3 linked regions of the Rattus norvegicus genome follow. The protein of the gene in region 3 purifies or fractionates together with the protein of the main gene of each other region. This does not show direct contact. Links are inferred from orthologs where the notes say so. Each region holds a gene or a part of one and is shown on either strand. Other genes may lie near its edges.

The links.
Region 1: the proteins of Otud1 (region 3) and Keap1 purify together in Homo sapiens (affinity purification with western blotting; 3 studies listed by BioGRID, with this or other methods). This does not show direct contact. The link is inferred for Rattus norvegicus from reciprocal best matches to the Homo sapiens genes OTUD1 and KEAP1.
Region 2: the proteins of Otud1 (region 3) and Flnc purify together in Homo sapiens (affinity purification with mass spectrometry; 3 studies listed by BioGRID and IntAct, with this or other methods). This does not show direct contact. The link is inferred for Rattus norvegicus from reciprocal best matches to the Homo sapiens genes OTUD1 and FLNC.

The regions. Positions count from the first base shown.
Region 1 is NC_086026.1:28,047,549-28,051,042, forward strand, and holds part of Keap1 (kelch-like ECH-associated protein 1), read right to left. Parts: intron 1,405-3,494; coding exon of another isoform or gene 1,393-1,404; coding exon 719-1,392; intron 1-718. UniProt on the Homo sapiens protein: Substrate-specific adapter of a BCR (BTB-CUL3-RBX1) E3 ubiquitin ligase complex that regulates the response to oxidative stress by targeting NFE2L2/NRF2 for ubiquitination.
Region 2 is NC_086022.1:59,016,547-59,020,046, forward strand, and holds part of Flnc (filamin-C), read left to right. Parts: intron 1-411; coding exon 412-568; intron 569-648; coding exon 649-838; intron 839-1,009; coding exon 1,010-1,033; intron 1,034-1,144; coding exon 1,145-1,392; intron 1,393-1,918; coding exon 1,919-2,017; intron 2,018-2,319; coding exon 2,320-2,419; intron 2,420-2,734; coding exon 2,735-2,875; intron 2,876-3,145; coding exon 3,146-3,274; intron 3,275-3,362; coding exon 3,363-3,500.
Region 3 is NC_086035.1:87,167,007-87,171,047, reverse strand, and holds the start of Otud1 (OTU domain-containing protein 1), read right to left. Parts: upstream 2,801-4,041; 5' UTR 2,470-2,800; coding exon 1,102-2,469; 3' UTR 1-1,101. UniProt on the Homo sapiens protein: Deubiquitinating enzyme that specifically hydrolyzes 'Lys-63'-linked polyubiquitin to monoubiquitin.

The DNA of each region.
Region 1 (3,494 bases), on a different chromosome or scaffold from region 3:
ACCACAAACATTAGAGGCCCCTAGGGCATTTGTTTAAAAGTCCATTTTCAGGCTATGGATGGGGTTAGCCCGGGGGCGGGAGGGGGGGGGGTAAATGGCTGGCCTGGCATGCACAAAGTCCTAGGTTCTATTCCCAGCACTACAAACACAAAATTTAAACTTTTCTCATTTTCTTACCCTTGCTCCAAGCCCTAAATTTATGTGTTGGGGGGAGGGGGTACAGGGAGAAGGGGGTTGTCTGTTTTGAGACAGGGTCTCATATCCCAGGCTGGCCTTGAACTTGCCATACAGCCAAAGAGAATCTTGACTCCCGATCCTGCTCCCTCGACCTCCCAAGGGCTGGGATGAGAGCTGGTGTCCACTACCACACCCCAGCTGAGTCACACCCCACGCCTGTGCCTTCCTTTTTCTCCCTCTCCTTATGGCAGTGTTGGGGATGAGACCTTAAACCCTGGATTCAAGAAAGAGACCAGGGCACTACCACTTAACTACATCCCTGTTCAGATGATACATTTTAACTAATTATAAACAGCACAACATAATTCACATACTATAGTAACTCCTGCTGTCCTCAGTGTGCTGTGACTCCTATAGGTTTAGGAAGCCCCTTCCAGGATTTCCCAACTCTGGACACTGAGGACAAACATCCCAGCCGCTCAACCTCACGTGGAGGCAGGGACAAGAACACGTACTGTCCCTTAGGGCCTCCGGTGCTCACCTCTCCACGCTGCTGTGGTGGATGCAGCCGTGGGAACCCCCGACTGCGTAGATGTGGCCATCTATGACCCCCACCCCGATGCGGTTGCGCGGCACGCTCATAGAGGCACAGGGCGACCACTGGTTGGTCATGGGGTTGTAGCAGTCCAGGGCGCTGGAATCAGTGTTGCCGTCCGGCGAGTTGTTGCGGCCGCCCACAGCATACAGCAGCCCGCCCACCACGCAGCCCGCCAGCCCACTGCGGGGCACCTGTAGGTCTGCCAGGCGCAGCCAGGAGCCATTGCTCGGGTTGTAGGCCTCCAGGTAGCTGAGCGACTGTCGGAAGTAACCGCCCGCAGTGTAGATGAGGCGGCCCACTTTGGGCGCCCGGCAGGGCACCGCTTGTGTGGGCTTGTGCAGCGTGAGCTCCTGGAAGATCTGCACCAGGTAGTCCTTGCAGCGCGCGTCGGCCTGCAGGATCTCGCACTTTTGCAGCTGTGTCTGCAGGAAGCGTGGCGTGAGAGCGTGGCAGCGCACGGCCCGTAGCAGTGCCTGCACGTAGAAGCGCCGCTGCGGGCAGTCGTATTTGACCCAGTCGATGCACGCATGGAACACCTCGGACTCGCAGCGCACGTTCAGATCATCGCGGCTGATGAGCGTGGCCAGCTGGCAGTGTGACAGGTTGAAGAACTCCTCCTGCTTGGCCACCTGCAGGGAGCTCAGGTGAGAAGGAAGCCCTCCTGGCCGAGCACCCATACACTGGCATCACACGGGCCACACAGTGTGGTATCTTTAGGCGCCTGTATTGATTTTGGTTTTAATTTTTAAAAAAAAAAATATAGCTAGGTGTAGTGGCACACTCCTATAATCCCCTATCCCACGGAAGGCAGAGGAACAAGGGTGTCTGAATTCAAGGCCAGATTGGTCTACATAAGCCAGTTCTAGATCAGGTAGGACAACATAATAAGATCCTGTCTCAAAATAAACAAATAATTGAACCTAGTCTGGCTTTAATCCCAGCATTGGACTAATGGCCACTTGGAAGGGAGAGGCAGGAGATGTCTGTGAGCTCCAGGCCACTTGTTCTACATAGTAAGACCCTCTCTTAAAAAAGGACTTTAAATTACATTTAATTACATTTAAATTACATTTATTGGTTTATTGGGTATGTATGGGAGGTGTGCGACAGCTCATGTCTGACGGGTAGGATCTCGCCTTCCACCTTGTGGTCCCTGGGATTGGTCTTCTGGCTTGGCAGTGAGTGCCCTCACCAGCTCCCAAAGGCACTGGGTTTGTTTGTTTCCTTGTTTTGTTTGTTTAACCCCCTCAGGAATCATATGCTGGAAGGAATCAACTTGTGCAAGTAGTATTCTGACCTCCGCATGAACTGTGGCACATACATTGCCCCCGAAATAAACACAATCAAAATTTTAGATTAATAAAATAAAATATAAAATGATAGGGAGCCTTACGGCTTGGCAGAGATGAGGAGACAACTCGGGAATGAGAGTATGGTATAAACTTCAAGTGAGCCACCAAGGTCCGTGTCGATTCTCGGCACCAGGGAACCTGACACACAAGAATCTTGGGTTTCAGACAAAAGCCTGGGCTATGACAACCTGCTGTCTCAAAAATCTAAATGAATAAACAAAATACATTCATGCTGATTCATACTGACCTTACACAGCCTGAAGGCTGTGCGTGTGTGTGTGTATCTGACCTGGAACTTGTTACGCGGAGCAGACTGGCCTCCAACTCACAGCTCTGCCTGCCTTTGCCTACCCAGTGCTGGGACTAACGGTGTGCGTAGCCACACTTGGTTTATGTGAGGTGTGGATGGAACCCAGGGCTTCGCACAGGCTGGGGAAGGGTTCTACCAGTCCAGGAGCACATCGGCCCTCCAAAGATTTATGCACTAGGCTTGATGTGCCCGCCACCCATCTTGTGAGGTCAGGTGTGGAACTGTCCACTTGAGAACGACAGATGGTGTTCAAAAGCTTTTGAAGCATTTCAGACTTGGGGTTTGGGTTGGTGATATTCAGAATGCAGTCATGTCCAGGGGACCTTTCTAGTCACTGCCACCCAGAGCCAAGGCTGCTGTTGACTGGCTTTCCCTAAGAACTGCCCTATTACTTTCCCTTGAGGACTTCCTGTATTCAGAAACGAAAATGAAAGCAATACCATGTGAACCCAGGAAAAGCCAAGCAAAGCTGGAGACTGCATGTGTGAGGTTGGTGGGTACCATTGACTGCCTGTTCAATCGCACTCCGAGGGTTTCTCTGTGTAGCCCTGGCTGTCTTGGGACTCCCTCTGTAGATCAGGCTATCCTTGAACTCTTGAACTCAGAGATCTACCTGCCTCTGCCTTCTGAGTGCTGGGATTAAAGGTGTACACCAATATGTTTGCACATATACACCCACACACCCCACTTTTTTTAGACAGGGTCTCACTGTATAGCCCAGGCTGGCCATCACTATTTTTAACACCAAAGAGACCAGGCTGCTGAGGCACTAGGAGGGCATGTCCTCACCTGATGCTCTCTGCATTTGGATTAGGGGCTCAGAAGCTGAGTTTTCAGTCCAGCAATGTGGCTTTGAGGGTAAAGGCATTTTCTGCCAGGCCCTATGATCTGAGTTTAACCTAGAAACATACATAAGGTAGCAAGAGAGAGCCAGTTCCTGCTATTTGTTCTCTGATTTCCACACAAGATCAGTGCATGCATATACACACAAATATATATATATATATATATATATATATATATATATGTATTTTTTTTAGGACTTAAAAAACAAAAA
Region 2 (3,500 bases), on a different chromosome or scaffold from region 3:
CTGAGCTAGAGCTTCTCCTAGGGCCTAACCTTCAAGGCCAGGACTTGGGCAGAGTCCCCCCCCCCCTTATTTGTCTAAACCTCCTTCAGGGACTACCCCATCCTACCCCACTCCAAGGTTCCCTACCCAGAAGGTAATATCACCCCACTAGCTTCAGCACCAGATAAGCATCAAGGAAAAGAGCCACAGAAAGTGTGCAGACTCTTTAAACAATTAACAGCATCTTCCTTTGGAGAAAACACTATCTATGTTCCATGGGTCCTTCAGTGACCCTTCTCCAAGATTCAAGATGTCCTGGGAAGCAGGCCTTCAGGGCTGCCCTGCAGAGTCACTCCTTCTGCCCATGTGGGAAGGCTCACATATCTCAAGCTCCAACTCCCTGACAACTGTCCGCTCCTTCTGTTTCTCAAGCCCTTTCAAGATCAAAGTGCTTCCGGCCCACGATGCCAGCAAAGTGCGGGCCAGTGGCCCTGGCCTCAATGCCTCCGGCATCCCCGCCAGCCTGCCCGTGGAGTTCACCATTGATGCTCGTGATGCTGGTGAGGGGCTTCTCACAGTCCAGATCCTGGTAAGTCTAGGCACAGCCCCCTGCCCAGCATATATGCCCTCTGTGGACATAGGTAGGCCTGACCTCTCCTTCTCCTCTAGGATCCCGAGGGTAAACCCAAGAAGGCCAACATCCGAGACAATGGGGATGGCACATACACCGTGTCCTACCTGCCAGACATGAGTGGTCGGTACACCATCACCATCAAGTATGGCGGCGATGAGATCCCTTACTCACCCTTCCGTATCCACGCCCTGCCTACAGGGGATGCCAGCAAGTGCCTTGTTACAGGTGAGTACCAACTCTGAGTCCCTTCTCGTCAGCCCCTTAGAGTGCATTCAGTCTCCCAGCCCAGTCCTGGGGCCATGCTGGCAAAAAGTCTATACTCTTTGCCCAGCCCAGCTCCCACCACCTCTAGGTCATCTTGAACCTTAATGACCTAACTTTCTTCTCTATTTCCAGTATCCATTGGAGGCCATGGACTGGGTGAGTAACTTTTTCTTTCTTTACTAAGGGCTGGAGGCTGTGGGAGCAGCCGGGAAAGGGGGAGCTGGACATGGCCTCCACAGCCCCTGATCTGGCTTTTTCATGTGGTAGGTGCCTGCCTGGGTCCCAGAATCCAGATTGGAGAGGAGACTGTGATTACAGTGGATGCCAAGGCAGCAGGCAAGGGGAAGGTGACCTGCACAGTATCCACACCTGACGGGGCAGAGCTCGATGTGGATGTAGTTGAGAACCACGATGGTACCTTTGATATCTACTACACAGCACCTGAGCCGGGCAAATATGTCATCACCATCCGCTTTGGGGGTGAACACATTCCCAACAGCCCCTTCCATGTGCTGGTAAGCTCATGGCCATGGTGCATGTTATGCAGAATATGCCTCTTAGTAGCTGCAAGGGATCCTAGGAGCTGTCCTCAAGGAATCAGAGAATATACCTCTTAGTCGCTGCAAGGGATCCTAGGAGCTGTCCTCAAGGACTCAGAATATGCCTCTCAGTAGCTGCAAGGGATCCTAGGAGCTGTCCTCAAGGAGTCAGAGAACTTGTCCCCATGTCTGATAAACAGATCCTGGAGCCAGAGTACTCTAGAATGAGCCTTTGTATTTCCTGTAGCCTTCCAATGTGCAGGGAGGTGGTGCAGCTCTGCTTTTGACCAGAGAGGTATCATCCCTCTCTGAAGGAGCTCACTGTGTTCTTTTCTGACCTTTGGGCCACTGTCCTTAGCTCTTGTTTCTACAGGGGTGGCCCTGCAGGACAAGGATAGAACACCTGAGATACCCACCCAGGACTTGAGTCCTAGGCCATTCTGAGAGTTGGTTCTGAGATCTAGGTCCCCCCACATTGTACACCCTGTGCCTTATTCCCCAGGCATGTGACCCGCTGCCTCATGTGGAGGAGCCTGCGGAAGTGCTGCAGCTGCACCAGCCATATGCCCCACTTCGGCCTGGCACCTGCCCCACACACTGGGTACTAGAGCTTCCCACGACAGGCCTCGTCATCCTTCTCCCTACTTTCTTCATTCTTCCTTCTGTTCTGCAGGCTTGGGCCATGGTTGGGCCTCTTGGGGAATGCAGGCATTAGGATGGGCAGAGGGAGCCCAAATCTGAGTATGGCACCCCTTCTCCTGCAGCTGACGCATCTTCTGCCATTGGTGTCTCACTATTAACCTTGTTCTTTCTTCGTTCTCTCTGACTTCAGTCTTGAGGCAGGCCACACTCCCCGGCGTTCTCCACCGACTACAGCCTTCTCTTTCCTCTCACCTGCTACAGGCCACAGAGGAGCCCGTGGTTCCTGTGGAGCCTTTGGAGTCCATGCTGAGGCCTTTCAACTTGGTCATCCCATTCACTGTGCAGAAAGGGGAGCTGACAGGTAATGGGTGCACCACACGTGAGACTCTGTTGAGAACTGAGAACGCTTCCTGGCCTTTCAGCTAAGATCATTGCAGGGATGAGACCTAGGGCCCAGAGAGGGGAAACAAATTAGGTTGCGTCTCACAAGTTGGGCAGAATGAGAACTCAAGTTCAAGCCTTCTGTCTCCTAGTCCTTCTATTCCTGAATGGGCTGCTTCCCAGTGTCTGGCCTCTGGGGAAAGCAGAGCCACTTGAGAACAGGCCCTGGGACATCAGGGACATGTGTTGGGAGAAACTAGTGTCCTACCTACATGTAAGTATGTCTGCCTTTCAGGGGAGGTCCGGATGCCCTCTGGTAAAACAGCACGTCCCAACATCACTGACAACAAGGACGGTACCATCACAGTGAGATACGCACCTACAGAGAAAGGCCTGCACCAGATGGGAATCAAGTACGATGGCAACCATATCCCTGGTGAGTTGGGAGCAGGGTGAGACCACGGTAAGAGGAGCCAACACCATGTTGGTCCTGCCAGCCTCCTTTAAATACATATGTAAGCACTGCCATGTACAGGCACCAAAGAAGGTTCTGGGAAATGTGTTTCTTGATGGTAATGGGCTTCTAAGTCCATGTAGCAGAGGCACGGGGCTCCAAAATCCAAAGCTGTTGAAGATGCTGGGGGCCAACATGGCTGTGGGAAGCCCCTGTCCCTATGCTAATCCAGCTCCACCTGTCACTACCCAGGGAGCCCTCTGCAGTTCTATGTGGATGCCATCAACAGCGGGCATGTCAGTGCCTATGGGCCAGGTCTGAGCCATGGCATGGTCAACAAGCCTGCCACCTTCACAATTGTCACCAAAGACGCTGGGGAAGGTGAGGAGAACTGCCGAAAGAGGTGAGGGGACTTGCCAGGTTTGTAGGCACAGGGATAGATTCTGATCTCAGCCACTTTCGCTTACAGGGGGGCTGTCACTGGCTGTGGAGGGCCCATCCAAGGCGGAGATCACCTGCAAGGACAACAAAGATGGCACCTGTACCGTGTCCTACCTACCCACAGCACCTGGAGACTACAGCATCATTGTGCGCTTTGACGACAAGC
Region 3 (4,041 bases):
GTACAAATACATTATTGTACAAAAAAATCACAAAATGTTACAAAATAAAAAAGTACAAACTGCATTACTTAATAAATACACTAAAAGTAGTTAAAGTGGCAACATATAGGAGTTTTTTTGGTTGGAAACACTGTTTGACCCAGCAAACCATACAACTGTTTACATTTTTACATAATACAAAGTCAATTCTATTTTGCCTTTTGGAAGAACTTTAAAATGACAGAATATTAAGACAATAGCCTCCTGCTAAAAATAGTGGTTGAAACCAAGAAGCTGTATAATGCAGGAGGCTGAACTTCTCACAAAATTTCATAAACGCCTTTCCAAAGTTGATGAATAAAAAGAACACAGTCAAGACCACCAGACAATCTACTCCATAAACAGCAGAAGACAGAATCATCATTCTGCCATCCGCGGATAGCAGACTTCTATTCAAGTAAGGCCTGGTACTGTCTTTTTTAAAAAAAAAAAAAAAATCGTCCCAAAGCTATCCCTTCCTTAACTGTCTTCAAAGCGGACCTTTTCTAAAAAAATAACTCTCCCAAACAAATCGGTCTGTTTCATCAAAATGGAATGGGCTAATCATCTGGTAACATAATGTGTCAAATATCCAGTTGAAATAATTAAGAATTGTGAAACATTTCAACAATAAACTAACTACTAAATCACAAACTCAAATAAACTTCATAGAAAGCACTTCTCTGGATTATGCTTAAAAGCCGTTTCTCGCAATTGGAACACGTCATAGATGAAAGTACACCCATTTTTAAAAATGTGCAAAAATACAATTTTATAGAAAATAGACTACCAGGAATGAACAAATTCATACCGTGAGACATAAGCTTGCAAATTAAGTAGCGCTCACTTTATACAGCAAATTATAAATAGCAGTAGGCTCACCCAAAGCTATCAGGAAACATCATTCAGGTGCCCAGCAACCTGCGGCTCTCAGAGGACATTCAAAAACTGATTAAGGCATTACCCCTAAAGCCAGTCTACTAGGAAATTGAAAAGTGCCATTACCCTAGTTAGAGTTCGTGTGGTTCTCCCAACACAACTGATGCACGCCATTTCCCCCGGCTTGTCAGATCCTCGGACTTTTCAAGAGCATGCATTCTGTTCGATATACATTTTGGACAGGGATATGGCCATGGACTTGGCAAGTTCTTCGTCGCGTTTTCTCTGCATTTGGGTTTGCTTGCACCAATTGTCATACTCTGGGTTAGGGTAGGAGTGGTCAAACACTGCATCATAGTGTCCATTGCTGAGCCAACTAAGCCAAATACTAGGCCTTAGAGAATCCTCTGGACCCAGATAGTGAACCATGGTAGACACGGTGGGGCTCTCCAGCCTCCCTCCAGTAGTTAAGTGTATATTCACATTCAGCATCTGCCCCATGGCCAGCAATTCGGGGTATCCGGCCCACGCCCCATCCTGGGCAGCAGCGATAATAAACTCCCCCACGTCGCCCTCAATGAGGGGGCTGAAGTGGTCGAGGTGGTCCGCGATGTAGTGCACGGTCTGCTCCCTCAGCTCCCGGTGCAGGCTCTGGTCCCCGTACACAGTCTTGCTGACAGCTCGGTAAAGGCAGTTACCGTCAGGGATGATGTGGAATCGGTACTTGTTCCTCTGTCTCAGGTACTTGTCCTGCCTCTCCACCTCGGCCAGGTACAGGGCTAGCTTCTCATCCCTGGGATCCGCCCGGGGCGCGCCTACAGCTTCGCCTTCACCGTTCTGGGTCGGATCGCCGCTGCTCCGTGCGGGTGCGGGTGCGGGTGCGGGTACGGGGTGAACCTCAATTTCGGGATCCGGCCGTCGGTGCGCGTCAGCCCCGGAGGCGTCGCTGCGACCGCTCGCCCGGTCCCAACCTCGGGGACTGCGCTCCGTCCGGCGCTCCTCACTCCACGGGCCGGCCCCGGGCTCCGGGCCGACGGGGGCCGGTGCAGGGGCTCGGTGCTGGGCGGCCGCCAGGGCCTGGCGATGCTCGCTCAGTCGGAAGTTCCTGTCGGGCGCGTCGCGGGCGGCGTTCGGGGCCGCGGGCTCGTCGGGCCGGAGCAGCTCTTCCAGCAGCCAGGCGGACGAGCCGCGACGCGGAGGCGCGGGAGCCGAGGGTGGCGGCAACAGGAGGCGCTCGGCGCCCAGGGCCCGCACGGCGATGTGCGCCGTAGACGTGAAGTGCGGCGGCAGCGGCGGCTTGCAGCACGCGCCGGGTGGGGCGGCGGCGGTGGCTGACCCGGACCGCTCGAAGCAGGCAGAGAAGGCGGGCATGGCGGCGGCGGCGGCGGCTTCGCGTGGTTCGGTAGCCGCGGCGGGTGGGCGCTCTCCGGTATCCGGCTCCGGAGCGGCGGCGGCGGGGCCCGCTGACTGCAAGGAGACCTTGAAGGCGGCGGTGGTGGCAGGCGGGGCGGCGGCCGTGGGGCCCGGCGTGCCCGCAGGGTAGTGGGTGCACACGCTGCTGTAGAGCTGCATGGCCGTGGCCGCCCGCGGCCCCTTATAGCTGCGAGCCCGGCTTGGAGACACACCCTCGGGCGCAGTGCCCCGGAGCCCGAGAATAGCGCTGAGCTCAGCGCCGCGGGCCGCCGCGTCAGGAGCCGCGAATAGCGCCCGGGCCGCGACCCAATTCGTACTGCGCCACAGCGCGCGGGCGGTCCGAGGGCACCGGAGGGCGCGCGCTCGGCCCGGGACAGGGGCGCAGGACGCTGCGGCAGCTGTGCCCCGCGCCGGCCGCTGGGGACGGTTGGAGAAGCTGCCCGCTCAGCCGAGCGCCGCCCGCCCGCAAGCAGGAGTGCAGCGCGCGGATGAGAGGAGGCGGGGCCGCGCTTGTTTACCTCAGGCCGCGCGGCCGCGTCACATGGTCCCCCAGGAATGCGCGCCCCATTCAAGCGGGGCCGCCCCGCCCCTCGGCGGCGGCCTCATGGGCGTGGCCGGAGAGGGCGAGGCGGGGGCTGGGCTACAGACATGCGCATTGAGTGCGCTGTCAACCTGACTACCGTTGCTGGCTGCGGGGTACCTAGGAAGCAGGTCTGTGGGCTGTGCCGCTGTCCTGCTGTGTGACGCAGCGGCGGGACCGGCTTAGCCGGGGCAAAAGACTAGGTTGGAATAACGCGTTTCTAAAACAAAGTGCGTACTAGGGACGGAGCTCTGCCTTGAATCTTGCAGGGCCAGTGGCATTCAGCAACTTCTTGAATCGGTTCTTCAGATGAAGGAGTTTGGGTCTGGTCTTCACGATCTTGCTGCCCGGCTAAGCAAAAATGCATGGGCGAAAGGAAGGCTCTCAGGCAGCCTTCCTCGGAACACCAAATGACATGCAGCTTAAAGCCTTTTGAAAGTAGATCGCGAGTGCTAAACTTTGAGGCAAGAGGAGGCACACCACCTATATTCTGGAACAACTCAACGAAATGAGACAACAGACTGACCTGTGCTTCCTTTGCAAAGGAAAGCCAGAGTGTTACCAAACTGGTACCTACTTGCAGTAACAGTAGCGTTTACATTATTCTGAGATTCAATCCAATATTAAATTTAATTTCCAGATATATAGATTGGATTGGAGGTGACTTCTTGGTATGGAAAAACAGCCTGCAGGTTGTGCTACATGCATTACACCATTCCACTGGAATGTAATTTCTACTTGTTACTAGGGTCTCTCTCATTGGGGATTCTTAGACTCCTTAATCAAAACATTTTGAACGGCTCAAAAGGAACCTTGGGGACAATTTTACTAATGTTTGAGAGGGTAGGTAATCTGCTAATCTTGGCAGTTGGCCAGAGAAGGGAGGAGAAATTTTAAAAAGCCATGCCCTTTTAAGTTAGGACTGGAAAAGGCAGGTCAGCAAGTCCAGCAACGGAGTTTGGCCAGCTGTTGCACTGGTAAGGGATGGTGTAAACCACCAGGCTAGAATAGGTGTATTCTAAACAAGACATTTGTGCTTTCCTCTTATTTAGCCCATTGGAAAAAAAGTGAACACACACACACACACACACACACACACACACACACACACACACTCACACACGCCCGCACAGGAATTTCCCCCCAGAGAA